4 linked regions of the Cricetulus griseus genome follow. The protein of the gene in region 4 purifies or fractionates together with the protein of the main gene of each other region. This does not show direct contact. Links are inferred from orthologs where the notes say so. Each region holds a gene or a part of one and is shown on either strand. Other genes may lie near its edges.

Region 1 (3,566 bases), on a different chromosome or scaffold from region 4:
GGTTTCAAACAGAGATCCTTTTGCTTCAGGTCTCAAGTACTAAGATTAGAGGCATGTGCCACCAAGTCTGGCCCTGTAACAATTATTTAGAAAGCAAAATTTCCTTAGGAAAAAAAAATTTAAACAGGGGAGAGCACAAAGTTAATTCTCTGAATCAAATTATACTAATTACATGGCCATTGTCTAAATCATACTGTGAGCTTGGAGTCTATCCAAGAGGCTAAGCTTTCTTTTTTAACTTTGTCTATCACCAAACTTAATGCTCAGCAAGTAAGCAAATTCTGAAAAAATGCCAGTTGATGAATGAATGAAGAGAAGCAAGCAAACTTCTGAGACAGGGTTTCTCTGGTAGGCCCAGCTGTGTCTGGGAACTAACTCTGTAGACCATGATGGCCTCAAACTCAGAAATCCACCTGCCTCTGCCTCCCAAGTGCTGGATTAAAAGCATGAGCCACTATGCTCAGCTTAGACTTTTTTTTTTTTTCTTCGAGGCAGGGTTTCTCTGTGGCTTTGGAGACTGTCCTGGAACTAGCTCTTGTAGACCAGGCTGGTCTCAAACTCACAGAGATCTTCCTCCTTCTGCCTCCGGAGTGCTGTGATTAAAGGCGTGCGCCACCAACGCCCAGCTGACTTTTTGTTTTTAAAGATTTATTTATTTATTATATATACAGTATCCTGCCTGCATGTATGACTGCATGCCAGAAGAGGGCACTAGAACTCATTATGAATGGTTGTGAGCCACCATGTGGTTGCTGGGAATTAAACTCAGGACCTCTCGAAGAGCAGCTAGTGCTCTTAACAGCTGAGCCCCCCAAGAATATTTTTTGAAATCTACATAATATGTGACTTACCGAAATTGCATATAGATTATAAATAGGTTTACTATGAGTATCTTCTCTTTGGTCATCAGTGATGTCTTCTTCACTATGGTTTCCAAGCTGACCATTACTATAGCCATTGCCACAAGCTTCATGCTCATAAAGGAATCCATTAGCCAAAGTGCTCTCATGATCCAGAGGAGTGACCAGCTCAGGCTGGCTGCCTCCCAACATATGTCCTCGGCTCAAGGTGTCAGCCAGTTCACATGTCTGCCCAGCCCCATTCTCTTTGCTGGCATCTAAATTCTCCTTACTACTGGACAATTTATTTTTGCTGCCAATTTGAGGCAGCCGAAGCCTTCCTTTGCTCCTGCCCAAAGTCCGTGGGCTGCTGTTAGGGCTGCTGTTTTTGCTGGAGGGACAGCTGGCTCCACTTTTTCTTGATGAAGAAGGTGAACCTGTGTAAGAGACAGGAAAAGATTTTTAAGTCCAAATGTCACAAGTTAGGTTAGATACCAAATAGTAACTCCCAACTGTACACATAAAGATAGGAATGCTGACTGCCTATTGTCACTCCTTATTTACACAGCTTGTGATGGCTATTCTTGGCTGTTAACTTGATTACATCAGGAATTAGCCAAGTGTCTGGGTACACCTGTGAGGGATTTTTTTCTTAATTATTTGAAGTGGGAAGACCCATTTCTAATTGAGAAGTGGGAAGAAAAATCTTTAATCCAGATTTTCAGGGCATTTATCCATCCATCCATCCATCCATCCATCCATCCATCCATCCATCCATCCATCCATCCATCACGGTTTTTCAAGACAAGGTTTCTCTGTGTAACAGCATTGGCTCTCCTGGAATTCCATTTGTAGACCAGGACGGCTTCAAACTCAAGAGATCGGCCTGCCTCTACTCTAGAGTACTAGAATTAAAGCCATGTGCCATCGTGCTTCCTTCAGCAGCACATATGGGATATATAGTCTCTCAGTTCTGTTCCTCTAGAGAACCCTAATACACAACTAATAAAATAGGCAAAAGTGAAAATGTAGAGTACATTGTAGGAATTACAAAATCACAGAAAGGTGATTTATATCATATTCAGCTCATAACAATGAATTTTATAAATACATTCTTGGGCTGGGTATGGTCTTGTTACTCAGGAAACTAAAGCAGAAGGATTCTAAGTTTAAGGCTAACCTGGGCTACACAGTGAGTTGCAGGCCAGCTTGTACCACCATAGCAAGATCCCATTTCAAAAGCTAAAAACAAGATGGGTGGTGGTGGTGCACACTTAATCTCAGCACTTGGGAAGCAGAGGCAGGCGGATCTCTGTCAGTTCGAGACCAGCCTGGTCTACAAGAGCTAGTTCCAGGACAGCCTCCAAAGCTACAGAGATCCTGCCTCAAACAAACAAACAAACAAACAAAGAGACACAAGGAGGATTGAAAGTTTAAGGCTAGTTTGGGCAACAGTAAGCTCAAGTTCAGGATGGGAAACTTAGTGAGATGCTACATCAAAACAAAAAAAGAGGCTGGAGATGCATTAAAGTGGGAAAGCACTGTCTAACATGTGTGAAATCCTCGATTCAATACATAGCAAAATGAAGGAAAAAACCATAAAAACTCTGAGGAATTAAAACTATACAATACTCAACCATCTATTTCACTGGAAAAAGGTTAGTCTAGCTACATGAAATTTTCCATGACTCTATGGTACATTTTTCAGAGAATGAAAGTAAAACTCACACATGGACTGAAGCTGTAGTTATGGGAAAATGGTAAAAAGAATCATATATATCAACATTCTTCACCTGTGGACCCCACAAGATCCAAATAATTACAGATCAGAATTAATAAAAAATTGCATTTTTACTGAAACAATACAGATTTCTTTCGCATGATTTCATAAATATTATAGTATAGCTATTTACATAACAGTGTAATGTCTATTATTCATATATATATACATATAATATACATATACATATACACACACACACACATATACACACATTTATTTGTGTGCATCTGATCTGTGTGGGCATACATAACATGGTGTTTATGTGTAGTCAGAGGACAACTTGTGAGAGGTCAGCTCTCTCCTATCATGTGAGTCTAGGGCCTGAATTTAGGTATCTTTATCCATTGAGCAATTCTGCTGGCTCTTCTGGAGGACCCAGGTTCAATTCCCAGTGCCCACTTGGCAGCTCACAACTGTATGTAACTCCAGTTCCAGGGAATCTGATATCATTATACCAATGTACAAAACAAACAAACAAACAAACAAACAAAAAACAAACAACAACAACAACAACAACAAAATACCTTAGAATTTCCCTGCTTTAGTTTTCTAAGAAATGTGATTACAGGTGTATGTGTTATCTCACACCTGTCTTGTACAGGGTATTATAAAAGATACAGAGATTATTTAAAATGTACAGAGAAGATATTAATAGGTTATATGCAGATATCACACCATTTTATGCACAGGACTTGAACACCCATGGTTTTTGGTATCTGTGATGGTCATCTTGTCAGCTTGGATTTGGTTGAGTTTAGAATCACCTAGGAGACACACCTCTGAGTGTGCCTGAGAGTATTTCCAGGAAGGTCTAATTAGGAAGCCAAGACCCACCATGAATGTGGACTTTAACATCTTGCTGTCTGGGGTCCTGAACTTAAAACAAAAATGGAAAAAGGAACTGGCTAAACACCAGCATTGATGTCTCTCTGCTTCATGACTGT
Region 2 (4,286 bases), on a different chromosome or scaffold from region 4:
ATCTGGCCTCAGTTGTCTTGTTTTAAAGTGGGCTTAGTAAGTGGTGATCAGAGCTAATGGGGTCTCTTGGATGGAAATCAATACAGGATCAAATGTCCTGAAACTCACTCTGTGGATTAGATTAGGCTGGCCTCAAACTTGAGATCTTCCTGCCTCTGCCTTCCAAGGGCCGGAATTAAAGGCGTGTGCCACCACCACCTGGCTGTCAATAGCACTTTTAAAATTTACTGTTTATTTGGTTTTTCAAGACATGGTTTCTCTGTGTAGTATTTTGGCTGGCCTGGAATTCATAGAGATCTGCTTGTCTCTGCCTTCCGGAGTTCTGGAACTAAAGTCATGCGCCACCAACGCCTGGCCCTAACTAGTTTTATAACTCAGATTAACCCATATTTTAAACCTGCATTCTTTTATGTGGCTTTGTTACTTTTATTCTGTATTCCCCATCCTGCTTTCTTTGACTAGCTGGTGACTCTGTCTTCCTTCCAGAGCAGTAGTGATTATAGCTAAATGAAAGACTTTTGAATATTTTCATCATAATGATGTAGCATTGAGGAAGTGTTTACTGATATGAACATTAATTTTCCTTTTGTGTTTTCTTTACGTATTGAAACAATATAACAAGTCAGTATGTGTATGAGACAGGGTTCCAGGTAGCCTAGGCTGACCCTCTGAATTCTCCACCTTAATATGTAATGGAAGAGCTTGCATCCACTTGCCATGTTGTGCTGGGACTGACATGCACCACTCCCCTAGGTTTATGTTGGTGATATAAACCAGTGGGTACTAGATAAGCACTCTACAGACTGAGCGACTTCCCCCACTAAGTATGTAAATTAAATGTTAGTAAGTAACTGACAGTTTATAAACTTGGTATCCTTTTACCTCAGAAAACATTTTACATTACCATTCATAATAGTACCAAAATTATAGTTATGAAGTAGCAAGGAGAATAGCTTTATTAACCCTTTATTAAAGGGTTGCAACATTAGGAAGATTGAGAACCAATGGAATAGACCCAGCTAAACTGTCCAGTACCTGGCAGGCCATAGATTTCATTCATTGGTTGAACAAGTATTGAAAGACAGTTTCTTTGAAAAGCCAATGCTGGTGCCAGATGCTGACGGATGAATGGGTGTCTAGAAGACCCAGGGGAAGGGGCGGGACTTGTTCTCAATTCCGAGTTCCACATCCAGCTAGATCCCACGTGCTCCTACCAAGGTTCTGACTGCCACTGTGAACGCTTGACGCAGCGGACGTGGCGTCATCTCCCTGGTTGGCCCACCAGGAGGAGGGACCGGAAGTTATCTTGGGGAGGGGGGGGTGCTACTGGCCGGAAGTGGTCCCGGGTGGTGCTCGGGGGTTCTCTGGAACTACAGGGGAGTGCTGGGAAGGCGGGGCTCAGGGCGGGGCGGGGCCCGCGGGAGGGCCGAGGGACGGGCGGACCCTGTCCCTGCCGGTCCCCGGCGGACCCCGCCTGCCCCGGCGGCGCGGCCATGAAGCTGAAGCTGAAGAACGTGTTTCTTGCCTACTTCCTGGTGTCGATCGCCGGCCTCCTCTACGCTCTGGTGCAGCTTGGTGAGCGGGGAGGGGCGGGGCGGGATGCGGGGGGCCGGCCCTAGGCGCAGGGACGGCCGGCCTAGCCGACGCCTGCCTCCCGCTCGGCCCTCTGGACACTCTCCGTGGTCTGCGTCTCCGCGGATGCCAGCCGGGCAGCGAAAGGCGCCGCCGCCGCTGTCGGGCACCCCTCCTCTCTCTGCCGCTCAGACCCGCTTGCTGACAGATTTTTGAAAATCCTATCTTCGTTCTCCCCTCAAGCTCTTGACCTGCAGAGCTTACCCCCCAAAAAACTATCTATTTCTCATCCTTCAGGTTTTAGGCCAGATGTCACCGTAGAGAGGACTTCTAACCATCTTAGCTCAAGTAACCCTTCTTAGTCCCGATCCCTTTTTCCCTCGAGACTGTCCTGGCACTCACCCTGTAGACTAGGCTGGCCGAACTCACACAGATCCGACTGCCTCAGTGAGTTCGTGAGCGGTTCAGACTTTTCTATTCCTTCTTAGTCTAGAAGGTAAAATCATGATCAAGGGTAGAAAGACTGACAGATTATCAGCCCAATATACAAGTTAAAATAATAGCAGGGCTGGATAATTCAGCACCAGCAAGTTTGAGGCGCTGGGTTGGAGGCTCAGCAAAGAAAACAAAAGTGACAGATGGAATTAACAATGCAGAGCTGAACCAGGCAGTGGTGGCCTATGCGTTTAACTCCAGCAGTGAGTTCCAGGATAGCCAAGGCTACACAGACAAACCTTGTCTCAAACAACAATAACAAAAAAAAAAAAAAAGAGTTGAGTATGGTGACCCACCATTTGGAAAACAGGCTAATGAGTTAATGTGTGAGGTCAACTTGGGCTATATAGCAAGACCTTATCTTTTGTTGTTTCTTTTCAAGACAGGGTTTCTCTGTGAAACAGTTCTGGTTGTCCTGGAACTCACTCTGTAGACCAGGCTGGCCTTGAACTCACAGAGAAGTGCTGGGATTAAAGGATTTGCCACCACAGCCTTTGCTGCCACCAGCAGCAAGACCCTATCTTAAAACAACAATAAAAGAAAGATAAAGATAAAAGTGCTTGCTAGTGAATTCCCTGCTACAAAAAAAAAAAAAAAAAAAAAAAAAAAAAAGGTTAAAAGAAAAGGTTAAAAGGGAAGTCCTGAATTCACTAGGAGTTAGAAAGATTTTGGCTCTGGGTTGTTGAACTACTTACTATCTTGTGGTTGTCTGCCCCAATTCCCATTCTCTGTTGATGCTTCCTGGGACCAGGCCAGCCATGTGACTGCCTCCCTCCGCTTCGAGCTGCAGCTGAGCAGCTTCGACAGAAGGACCTGAGGATTTCCCAGTTGCAAGCTGATCTCCGTCGACCACCCCCTGTCCCAGCCCAGCCCCCTGAGCCCGAGGCTCTGCCCACTATCTATGTCATTACCCCCACCTATGCCAGGTATGGCTCTGGTACACTCGAGGTCTGCATCTACCAAGATGTGTTAATTATGAATTTGGGGAGGCATTGAACTAGGGGGTGATCTTTAAACTAGAGCTTGCAAAATGTTATGATGAATGGTCTACCTTTACTCAGATTGGCGGGAAAATTACCTTTCTAGAAAAATGGACAAAGGGATAATAGGAAGTGGATTACCTTACTGAATTTTTGGTAAACTTTTTTTTTTTTTTTTTTTTTTTTTTTTTTTTTATCTTCCCTGAGGCAGGGTTTCTGATGCAGCCCTAGCTGTCCTGGAATTAGCTCTGTAGACCTGGCTGACCTTTAACTCAGAGACTAGCTGGAGTGCTGGGTTTAAGGTGTGAGCCACTGCTACCCCTCTACCAGATCTGAGTTACTGCTAAACTTTAAAAGAGGACAATAAAGTTGGAAAGGAAATTTGAGCTGACAATGAATTAACTCCTCTTTGGAATTTCTTGGTTAGAAAGTTCTAACACTTTGATTAGCTCCAGGTGTGGTAGTTGACATCCTAGCATTCACTAGGCCCTGACAGTGATCCCCAGCAGGGTGTTGTAGAAAGGGGCAGGTAATTTACCAGCTTTTAGAAATGTTTTGCCTGGCGGTGGTGTGTCACACGCCTTTAATCTCAGCACTTGGGAAGCAGAGGTAGGTGGATCTCTTGAGTTTGAGGCCAGCCTGGTCTACAGAGTGAGTTCCAGGACAGCTAGACAGCTAGGGCTACTCAGAGAAACCAGCCTAACAACATGAATCCCTGTATTGAAAATCAGGACAAACTATAAAATTATTCAAACCCAGATCTATTTGATTCCAAATCATGTGTCCTATATTCTTACCCTAGCCTGAGTCCTCAGGTTGAAGAGAGTGGTGACCTGGTCTGGAAAGGCAGGGAAGGTCAGCATCTGCACGAAATTGACATTCAAGAGGGAGGCAACTTGGCAGTCTCATGATTCTTTTTTGAATACCTGAAGCCCTGAGTTCTGTCCTAAATAACATATGCACACATCCAAAGCTTGGGCACTGGTGAAGGAAAATCCAGGGAGATGCTAACAGTGGCCAGGAGCAGCTATTATCCTAAGTGCTGTGGGCCAAGGTTGCCTGGTCCCTTCCTTCCTGCATCTCTCCCCCTGCAGGCTGGTACAGAAGGCAGAGCTGGTTCGGCTGTCCCAGACCCTGAGCCTGGTGCCCCGTCTACACTGGCTGCTGGTGGAGGACGCTGAGAGCCCTACCCCGCTGGTCTCGGGGCTGCTGGCTGCCTCTGGTCTCCTCTTCACACAC
Region 3 (3,566 bases), about 160 Mb from region 4:
CCTGTTCACTGGGGGTGGTGGGCAGTGATCCAAACTCTTTAATGTACTTATCTGTTTCTTTCGCAAGTTGGTTAGTATATTGCTGCTTCTGCTGCCTAAAGTGAAAAGAAAAAACAAAAAGAGAAACAGAAGGCACAAATACATTATTGTCAAAGAAAAACTCCACCACTTGTGTCAACCTTAGTAAATGGTTGTAGAAGAACTAGTCTTTTTGTCTGGGTATTTATAGTAACAAACTATAAACAGTGAAAGTACTCAGTTTTCTGAACATGTGGTCAATTTCTTCTGCCAAACCAAATCTTTAGGTTCTGTTTTTCTGATAAATACTAAGAACTATGACATAGAAGGGTCTTCATTACCTAAAATAACCACTCTTGGAGAAACATGAATTGTGATTACCTATAAGTATAGATCAATAGCTACAGATGAAAATGACTTCAGTGAGAAGGGCATGTAGTCAGGACAGTGATGGCGGTCTGGTCCTTTATATTTGAGAGACTGAAAATGTCTATAGCTCTTATCTGTGTCTCCCCTAGGACGTCATCTGAGAAAGAAAGACTATTTGTTTTTGTCCAGTGCCCAGGTGTGAGGTACATCTTGTATGTCTTATTTCTTTATGTGAATACTTATGTTCCACAAACACAAAGATGGAGGAGAAGTAGTGACAGTACAAATTTACTAGTTATTAAACTTGCTGTGGAAAATCTAACAGAGCTTCCTTATAAATAGACCTGAATACAAAAAAAATGGGGGAACTAAATTATACCTATACCTGTATTTTCCTAGATATCTTATAAAAAGAGTATGAATTTTAATGAAAAACCTTGATACTCAACAATATAATCTTGCATTAAAGGGATGCTTAGAAAAGACACCAAGGCCTCCCTTGTACATCCCTTATGTTACACATGAACTGCCAGTGAGGCTCACAATAAAAAGATGCTCAGATGCAGATGCCTGTATAGAGCTAGTGAAGAAGAAAAATAACCAGCTCACAGTTCTAGACACCAAATGCCCTTGCTTGGACGTGCTTCTCTAAGTTTCTGGAACAGGATAGTCAAAGTTCTCAAAATGCATGATCATGTCTATGGATTCAAAATTTCCACTGTTCGTGCCCCAAAACTAATGTGTCTATTTAGTATGAACTTCCATTGAATTGAATTTCAATGAATGTTTGTGTATTAGCTATGATTCACCCCAACACTTATTGTAGAGAAAAAATATGAACTACAGACAACTACAAATACTTCAAACTTCTTAAAAACATGAGTTTATATTCTGTATCTTTCCATATCTTCTTTGTACTTGTATTCTAGCTAATTGTTATATGGAGATAATGCTATGTGTGTGCATGTATGTTTGTGTGTACATATATATGTGTATGTGTGTTTGTGCATGTGTGTGTTTGTGAGTCTGTGTGCATATGTGTGTCTGTGTCTCTGTGTGTGTGTATATATATGTGTGTGTGGGGGGGGGTGTATCACTTGTAATCTGTAGCTAGTTAAAGTGCTGAGAACTCAAAAGGTTCTGAATAGTATTGGGCAGATCATCAAGGCCCTAAAAGAGAAATTTCCCTTATGAGCAATTAGAAATGGTTCTGTGTGTGAGCATCACTCAAATTTTACAAAGTTCAGGTGAGAAAAGATGACAAACACTATGAAATCTATAAAACACACAAAGTACTATTACTGTTCCTCTACTGGCATATTTACTGATACATATGTAGTGTGTGTGTGTGTGTGTGTGTGTGTGTGTGTGTGTGTGGTGTGCATGTGTATGTGTGTGTATTTGGAAGTTTTGACAGAGTTTCACTGTGTAGCCCAAGATGATCTGGAACTTACTCTGTAGCTCAGGATGGCTTTACATTCTCAGCAATCCTCTTGCCTTTTCTCCAATAAAATCCTACTATAAAAGCATCATAGAAATGGTTTTCTCTGCTGGGCGTTGGTGGCGCATGCCTTTAATCCCAGTACTCGGGAGGCAGAGGCAGGCAGATCTCCGTGAGTTCGAGGCCAGCGTGGTCTCCAGAGCCAGTGCTAAGATAGGCTCCAAACTACACAGAGAAACCCTGTCTCGAGAAACCAAAAATAAAAATAAGTAAATAAAATGGTTTTCTCTTGTTTCTGTCTGAAAAAAAAAAAGTTGAGGGCTGTTGGCTCAGAGGTTAAGAGCACTGGCTGCTCTTCCAGAGGTCCTGAGTTCAATTCCCAGCAACCACATAGTGGCTCACAACCATCTGTAATGAGATCTGGGGCCTTCTTCTGGCCTGCAAGCATACATACAGACAGAATAGTATATACACAATAAAGAAATAAATCTTAAAAAAAATACTTAAAAAAAAAAAAGCTGGGTGGCTGGTGCACAGGTCTTTAATCCCAGCATCCCAGCACTTAGAAGTCAGAGCCAGGCAGATCTCTGTGAGTTTGAAGCCATCCTGGTCTACAGAGCGAGTTCTAGAACAACCAGGGCAGTTACACAGAGAAACCCTGATTCCAAAAACCACAAACAAACAAACAAACAAACAACAAGAAAAAAAACCAAAAAAGCAAAACTCACAGCTGTTGCCTCAGTTCTGGTGAATCCTGAGGTGTTCCAAGTTGATTCAGAGTCCTTTGGATTTCCACAGCTATCGTAATAGAAAATTAATGAATAATTGTTACAAAAGTTACAGCCACAGAAAATATTACATTAGAAGCAATTAGGTAATTAAATGATGAAAAGAAAGAAAAACAAAGGAATAATGATAGATAATAATAATAATTGAAAAAATGAAAAAGTAAATGGTTTGTTTCTGGCTGATCAGGAACAGCAACAGACTGATTTTCCAAGAAAAATTGAGTGGGAACATTGACATGTGAAACTTGCTCATGTCCAAAACGGCAGCAATCTCTTTCCTGTGCTCCAGGGACTGCACTGAGAGTAGAACTATGCTGTTGTCTTAGAGGATGCATGGATGCAGACAGAGGGGAAGACATGGGACAGAGCATCAAGCCCAGAAAAGGAAGAAAAGTATCATGAAGACCCAGTGAGGATTCAGAGAAACAGATGCTGAAAAAAAAAAAAGATTCAAACAAGAACCTAACATATCTGTGTTCTTCTGGAGGACACTCCCCAGAGCGCCAATGGGGTAACACCTCTATTGGTGGGGGATAGGGAATAGAAGGGCATTGTCTAGTTTGGAGACTCAGCTATCTAATTCTGTACTTAGATGCAGAATAAAATGGCCAGATTACCACTATACACCACAAGTAGAAAGTAAACTCCTTATAGGCAAGAACTAGAACTGTATTTTATCTGTTTCTAAATCAGTCATTACAGGACTGATCATAGTACTGATACTCAGTGGATATTTTTATAACATAACTATAAAAAATGTACTGGATAGATCAATTATATAAGAAATAGCATGCATTTCTAAAACACAACAGTAGGGGGTGAGTTTAAAATTGCTAAGTGCTCAATTGTAATTAATTCACTCATTCAGTAATTCCTGGCTAACCTCTGTTCTGGATATGAACAGCAATTCTGCAGTATCCTTTGACTCGAGTAGGAGGTGTATGCTTGAA
Region 4 (4,137 bases):
ATACCTAATTGCAATTTCTTTTTCCTTTTTTTGAGATAGGGACTTACTATGTGGCCTAGGCTTACCTCAGACTCTGAATATTTCTCACCACCATGCCCTGCTCCTACTTTTAATTTCTTCTACATACTGGAATTGAGGGACAGAAAGAGATTTCAGGAGCTAGCAGGTGACTCAGAGTCTAAGCAAACTTGCTGTGTTCAAATAAGGCCCAGGCTCCACTCCCAGCACCCACAGAGTTACACACCCCTCTGTAACTCCAGTTCCAGGGGATCCAACACACTCTTCTGGCCTCCTCAGACAGTGCACACAAGTGTACATATTCATACATGCAGGCAAAACACTCATACAAATAAAAATACTCCTTAGAGAAAAGACAGGTTTTTCCAGGAAGAGGTGGTGAACGCCTTTAATCCCAGCACTCAGGAGGCAGATCTCAGGGCCAGCCTGGTCTACATAGTGAGTTCCCAGACAGCCAGGCTACACAGACAGGCTAAACCTTGTCTCAAAACAAAGAAAGAAAAAAAAAAAAAAACAGCTTTTATGAACATCTCCCCCTGCACATTATATCCCAGCTTCCCAGTCCCTTGCCCACACAGCAGCTATGGGAGTTACTGCTCCTTGACTCATGTTGACTTCTGCAGTAAAGCATTAACATGGTGCAAAGATACAAGGCTGAATATGCGTCGTCTGAGCTTAATTTAATATAAGACTATTCAATTTATACCTTGTCTTTCATGTTCTTAACTCTGATATCCTAGTGGGACTGAAATTGTGTCTGAAGGCTGGGCACACTCCTTGCCTGAGGCTGCAGCAGACCTTTCTTCAGATTTAAAAGAGCTCAAAGCTGATTGTCCTCTAAGTGGAATCTGAACATCCTGGTTAAGCACAGGCCATCCCAATTAGAATTATCTGAAGTCCTGGCTTTTTATCTACTGATGATTATGATTGGAGAGCCTAAGAGCAATTACATTTTGTTAATGTCAATAGATAATTATTTCAAAAGATCTATTTCCTGCAATCTGAAGAGGCTTCTTTCCTCCATTTATCTGCATTTATTTTAAACCTGTTTCTTAGAGGAGTAGTTCTGCGGAGTAAGGAATGGGTGTCTCAAGCCTTCAGTACAAGCCCTTTGTCCTTTGTCTCAAAGGTGATCCTTAGTAGTCCAAGTTACTTCTGTATCTAAGAAAGCATTTGTTCACTGAGGAAAGTTCTGTGTAGACAAAGTATTTATCAAGAAAATATTTTTATGTCCTTAATAATATATAATTGTTTTTCTTGAAAGACTTTTTGCTGACTCTCATCTTTTTCTGGAAAACTGGATACTTCCAACCATATGGGGATGAACCATATGGGCATGAACCATATGGGGATGAACCACATGGACCACATGGACCACATGGACCACATGGACAACAACAGTACCATGCCACCTCACCATCACCCAACCACTGCCTCACACTCCCATGGTGGAGGAGACATGGTATGTGTCCCAGAGGATGGCACAGGCCCTTGCCCACACACTTGGATAATAGAAACATGGAGTTTTAGCACTGGAAGGTCAAAGAGAGAAACCAAAGCAGATTGTCCCTCCCCACAAGTCAGGTGATCTTCCTGTATTCATGTGGCAACATACAGAATGACACCAGAAACAAGGCTCTCTAGAATTCTTTCCTTAATCCTTTCTTTTGAAATTCACCCTTTCCTGAATTAAGTCCTGTTTCATGTAGAAAAGACAAAAGGACATAAGGTGGGGGTGGGGGAGACTCTTAGTGCCCAAGGTAGTAAAGCCTCCCACTACAAGTATTTCTTGTCTAGATGTGTTATGTCAGCCTCTTTGCCCAAGATTCCCACTAGGGTCTTCAGTCTTCTCTAACTGACTTGTTTTGGTTTTCTGGCAGCCTATGACCTTCTACTTTGGCTTTAAGCGTGTGGAACTATTGTTTTATGGTTTGGTAATCAACACACCTGGAGGTGAGTAACCACCAGATAATCTTTGAAGATGACAACCATGTGAGAGATCATAGTGACAGATTTGGAAATCCAGAGTCTTTTTCTGTCTATTGCCAGATCAATTTGGTTGTGCAACATAATCATCACAATTCCTATTCCCCAATCAGAAGATGAAATACATCATTTTTTTGATCCTCCAGTGAGCTTCCTTTAATTAATATGTATGTTTTGAAGCACTGAAAAATAATTAAAATGCCATATTAAGATATTTTGCAATCCTTTTCTTGTTTGAAGTTGTTACTGGTCCTAGGCCTAAGACTACATAGCATATTCAAATACCACAGCGTAACCCTACATTAAAAACTGTTGATCGTCAGTATTTATCCCTGGCCCACTAATGAACTTTGGGAGCCCATTCCACATGGAGGGATGCTCTCTCAGTCTGGACATGGGGTAGGGCCTAGGCTCTGCCTGGGATGATATGACAGACTTTGGAGATCCCCCATGGAGGGCCTCACCCTCCCTGGGGAGCAGAGGGCAGATTGGATGGGGATGGGGGGGTAAGAGCAGAGGGAGATGGAGCTGGGATTGGTGTGTGAAGCAAGATTGTTACTAATTTAAATTAAAAAATTAAAAAAAAAACTGTTGGTCTTGGCATGTATGGTAGTGAATACCTTTAATCTCAGCACTTGAGAGGCAGAGGCAGGAGGATCTTTGTGAGTTCAAGGCCTGGTCTACATAGAGAGTTTGAGGATAGCCAGACTACATAGACATTGCCTCAAAAAAAAAAAAGTATTGATCAAATAACTGCCTGTTTACAGATAAATAAGCCTCATATAGTGAAATGGTTGCCCTAAATCACACAGTTAGTATGACAGGGCTAAAGCAAGTACCATACTTTCTAGAACTCTCTAAGCCAGTGCTTTCTCTTCTACATCAAAGTATGGTTTCCATGTTCCTGGTACTTGACATATCATAGAGTCACTCTTAGTTTTAAGGTAGCTGTCACCTATCTTTTTGTATCTGTCATTTATTGGTGTGCTTTGCATTTAAATTGTAATTGCATGAGTTTAATTGTCACTTAAACTGCTTTAGGTATCAAGTTTATTTCTGAAATAAACAAATTTGATTTTGGAAAAGGAGGGGGAAGCATTTTGTTCAAATAGTATGTTACATTTAAATTAAATTAATCACATAAATTCATCTTGTCAATTCTTCACTATATATACATAATCTCTTAAAATGCCTATCAAAATATATAGGCAGCACTTTTAAAAACAGGTTGTTTTAGCTGGATATGGTGGTGCACACCTGTAATCCCAGTGCTCAGGCAGTTGAGGCAGGAGAATCTCCAGGAGGTCAAGATCAACCTGGGCTACACAACAAAACCCTGTTAAACAACAAACCAACAGTTGGCTATTCCTTTTTTTTTTTTTTCAGATAAGTCTCTATTGAGTGGGTAAAGAGATAACCATCCAATTATTCACAAACTGAGACTGATATTTTTTCCGTTTTGTTTTGAGATAGTTACTTGCCATGTAGCTCAGGCTGACTGTGCACTCATAATCCTCTGCCTCAGCCTCCTGAGTGAGCACTGGGATCACAGGCGGTGCCACTGTGGCTGGCAGCACACTAGCCGATGATTTTAACTGTGTCATTACCTCCTTCTTTCTTTCCTTCCTTCCTTCCTTAGAGATGGCTGGAGCTTTTGTAGCAGTGTTTTTACTAGCAATGTTTTATGAAGGACTCAAGATAGCCCGAGAAGGTCTGCTGCGTAAGTCTCAAGTTAGCATTCGCTACAATTCCATGCCTGTCCCAGGACCAAATGGAACTATCCTTATGGAGACACACAAAACTGTTGGGTAAGATGAAACAGATCCAAAGGAAAGTTCTATTACGCTGTCTTTAATAATGTAACAAAGCAGGTATTTTTTTCTGCCTGAGTTAGTGATTCTATGTAACTTTAGAAGTTACCAATGGTGGGTTATGGGACTTGGGGTCTGTAAAGGCACATACATGTTATAAGTTACAAGTGTTTGCCACTTTGAAAGAAGTTGAAAGGAATCCAGTTTTTTAAATATTTTCTAAATACTAATGGACATTTTAAGTATGTATAGTCAAGATATAAAAGAATGGCAGAATGCAATTGATTCCTTTATGTCAAAAGTTAGATCTAGTCAAACATGA

The links.
Region 1: the proteins of Slc31a1 (region 4) and Usp32 purify together in Homo sapiens (co-immunoprecipitation; 3 studies listed by BioGRID and IntAct, with this or other methods). This does not show direct contact. The link is inferred for Cricetulus griseus from reciprocal best matches to the Homo sapiens genes SLC31A1 and USP32.
Region 2: the proteins of Slc31a1 (region 4) and B3gat3 purify together in Homo sapiens (co-immunoprecipitation; 3 studies listed by BioGRID and IntAct, with this or other methods). This does not show direct contact. The link is inferred for Cricetulus griseus from reciprocal best matches to the Homo sapiens genes SLC31A1 and B3GAT3.
Region 3: the proteins of Slc31a1 (region 4) and Stx7 purify together in Homo sapiens (affinity purification with mass spectrometry; 3 studies listed by BioGRID and IntAct, counting the BioPlex papers as one, with this or other methods). This does not show direct contact. The link is inferred for Cricetulus griseus from reciprocal best matches to the Homo sapiens genes SLC31A1 and STX7.

The regions. Positions count from the first base shown.
Region 1 is NC_048600.1:98,265,002-98,268,567, forward strand, and holds part of Usp32 (ubiquitin carboxyl-terminal hydrolase 32), read right to left. Parts: intron 1,277-3,566; coding exon 852-1,276; intron 1-851. UniProt on the Homo sapiens protein: Deubiquitinase that can remove conjugated ubiquitin from target proteins, such as RAB7A and LAMTOR1.
Region 2 is NC_048596.1:51,172,069-51,176,354, reverse strand, and holds the start of B3gat3 (galactosylgalactosylxylosylprotein 3-beta-glucuronosyltransferase 3), read left to right. Parts: upstream 1-1,454; 5' UTR 1,455-1,493; coding exon 1,494-1,575; intron 1,576-2,818; coding exon 2,819-2,993; intron 2,994-4,141; coding exon 4,142-4,286. UniProt on the Homo sapiens protein: Glycosaminoglycans biosynthesis. Involved in forming the linkage tetrasaccharide present in heparan sulfate and chondroitin sulfate.
Region 3 is NC_048595.1:243,388,342-243,391,907, reverse strand, and holds part of Stx7 (syntaxin-7), read right to left. Parts: intron 2,627-3,566; coding exon 2,557-2,626; intron 96-2,556; coding exon 2-95; intron 1-1. UniProt on the Homo sapiens protein: May be involved in protein trafficking from the plasma membrane to the early endosome (EE) as well as in homotypic fusion of endocytic organelles. Mediates the endocytic trafficking from early endosomes to late endosomes and lysosomes.
Region 4 is NC_048595.1:83,482,081-83,486,217, reverse strand, and holds the start of Slc31a1 (high affinity copper uptake protein 1), read left to right. Parts: upstream 1-1,274; 5' UTR 1,275-1,333; coding exon 1,334-1,480; intron 1,481-1,898; coding exon 1,899-1,971; intron 1,972-3,643; coding exon 3,644-3,812; intron 3,813-4,137.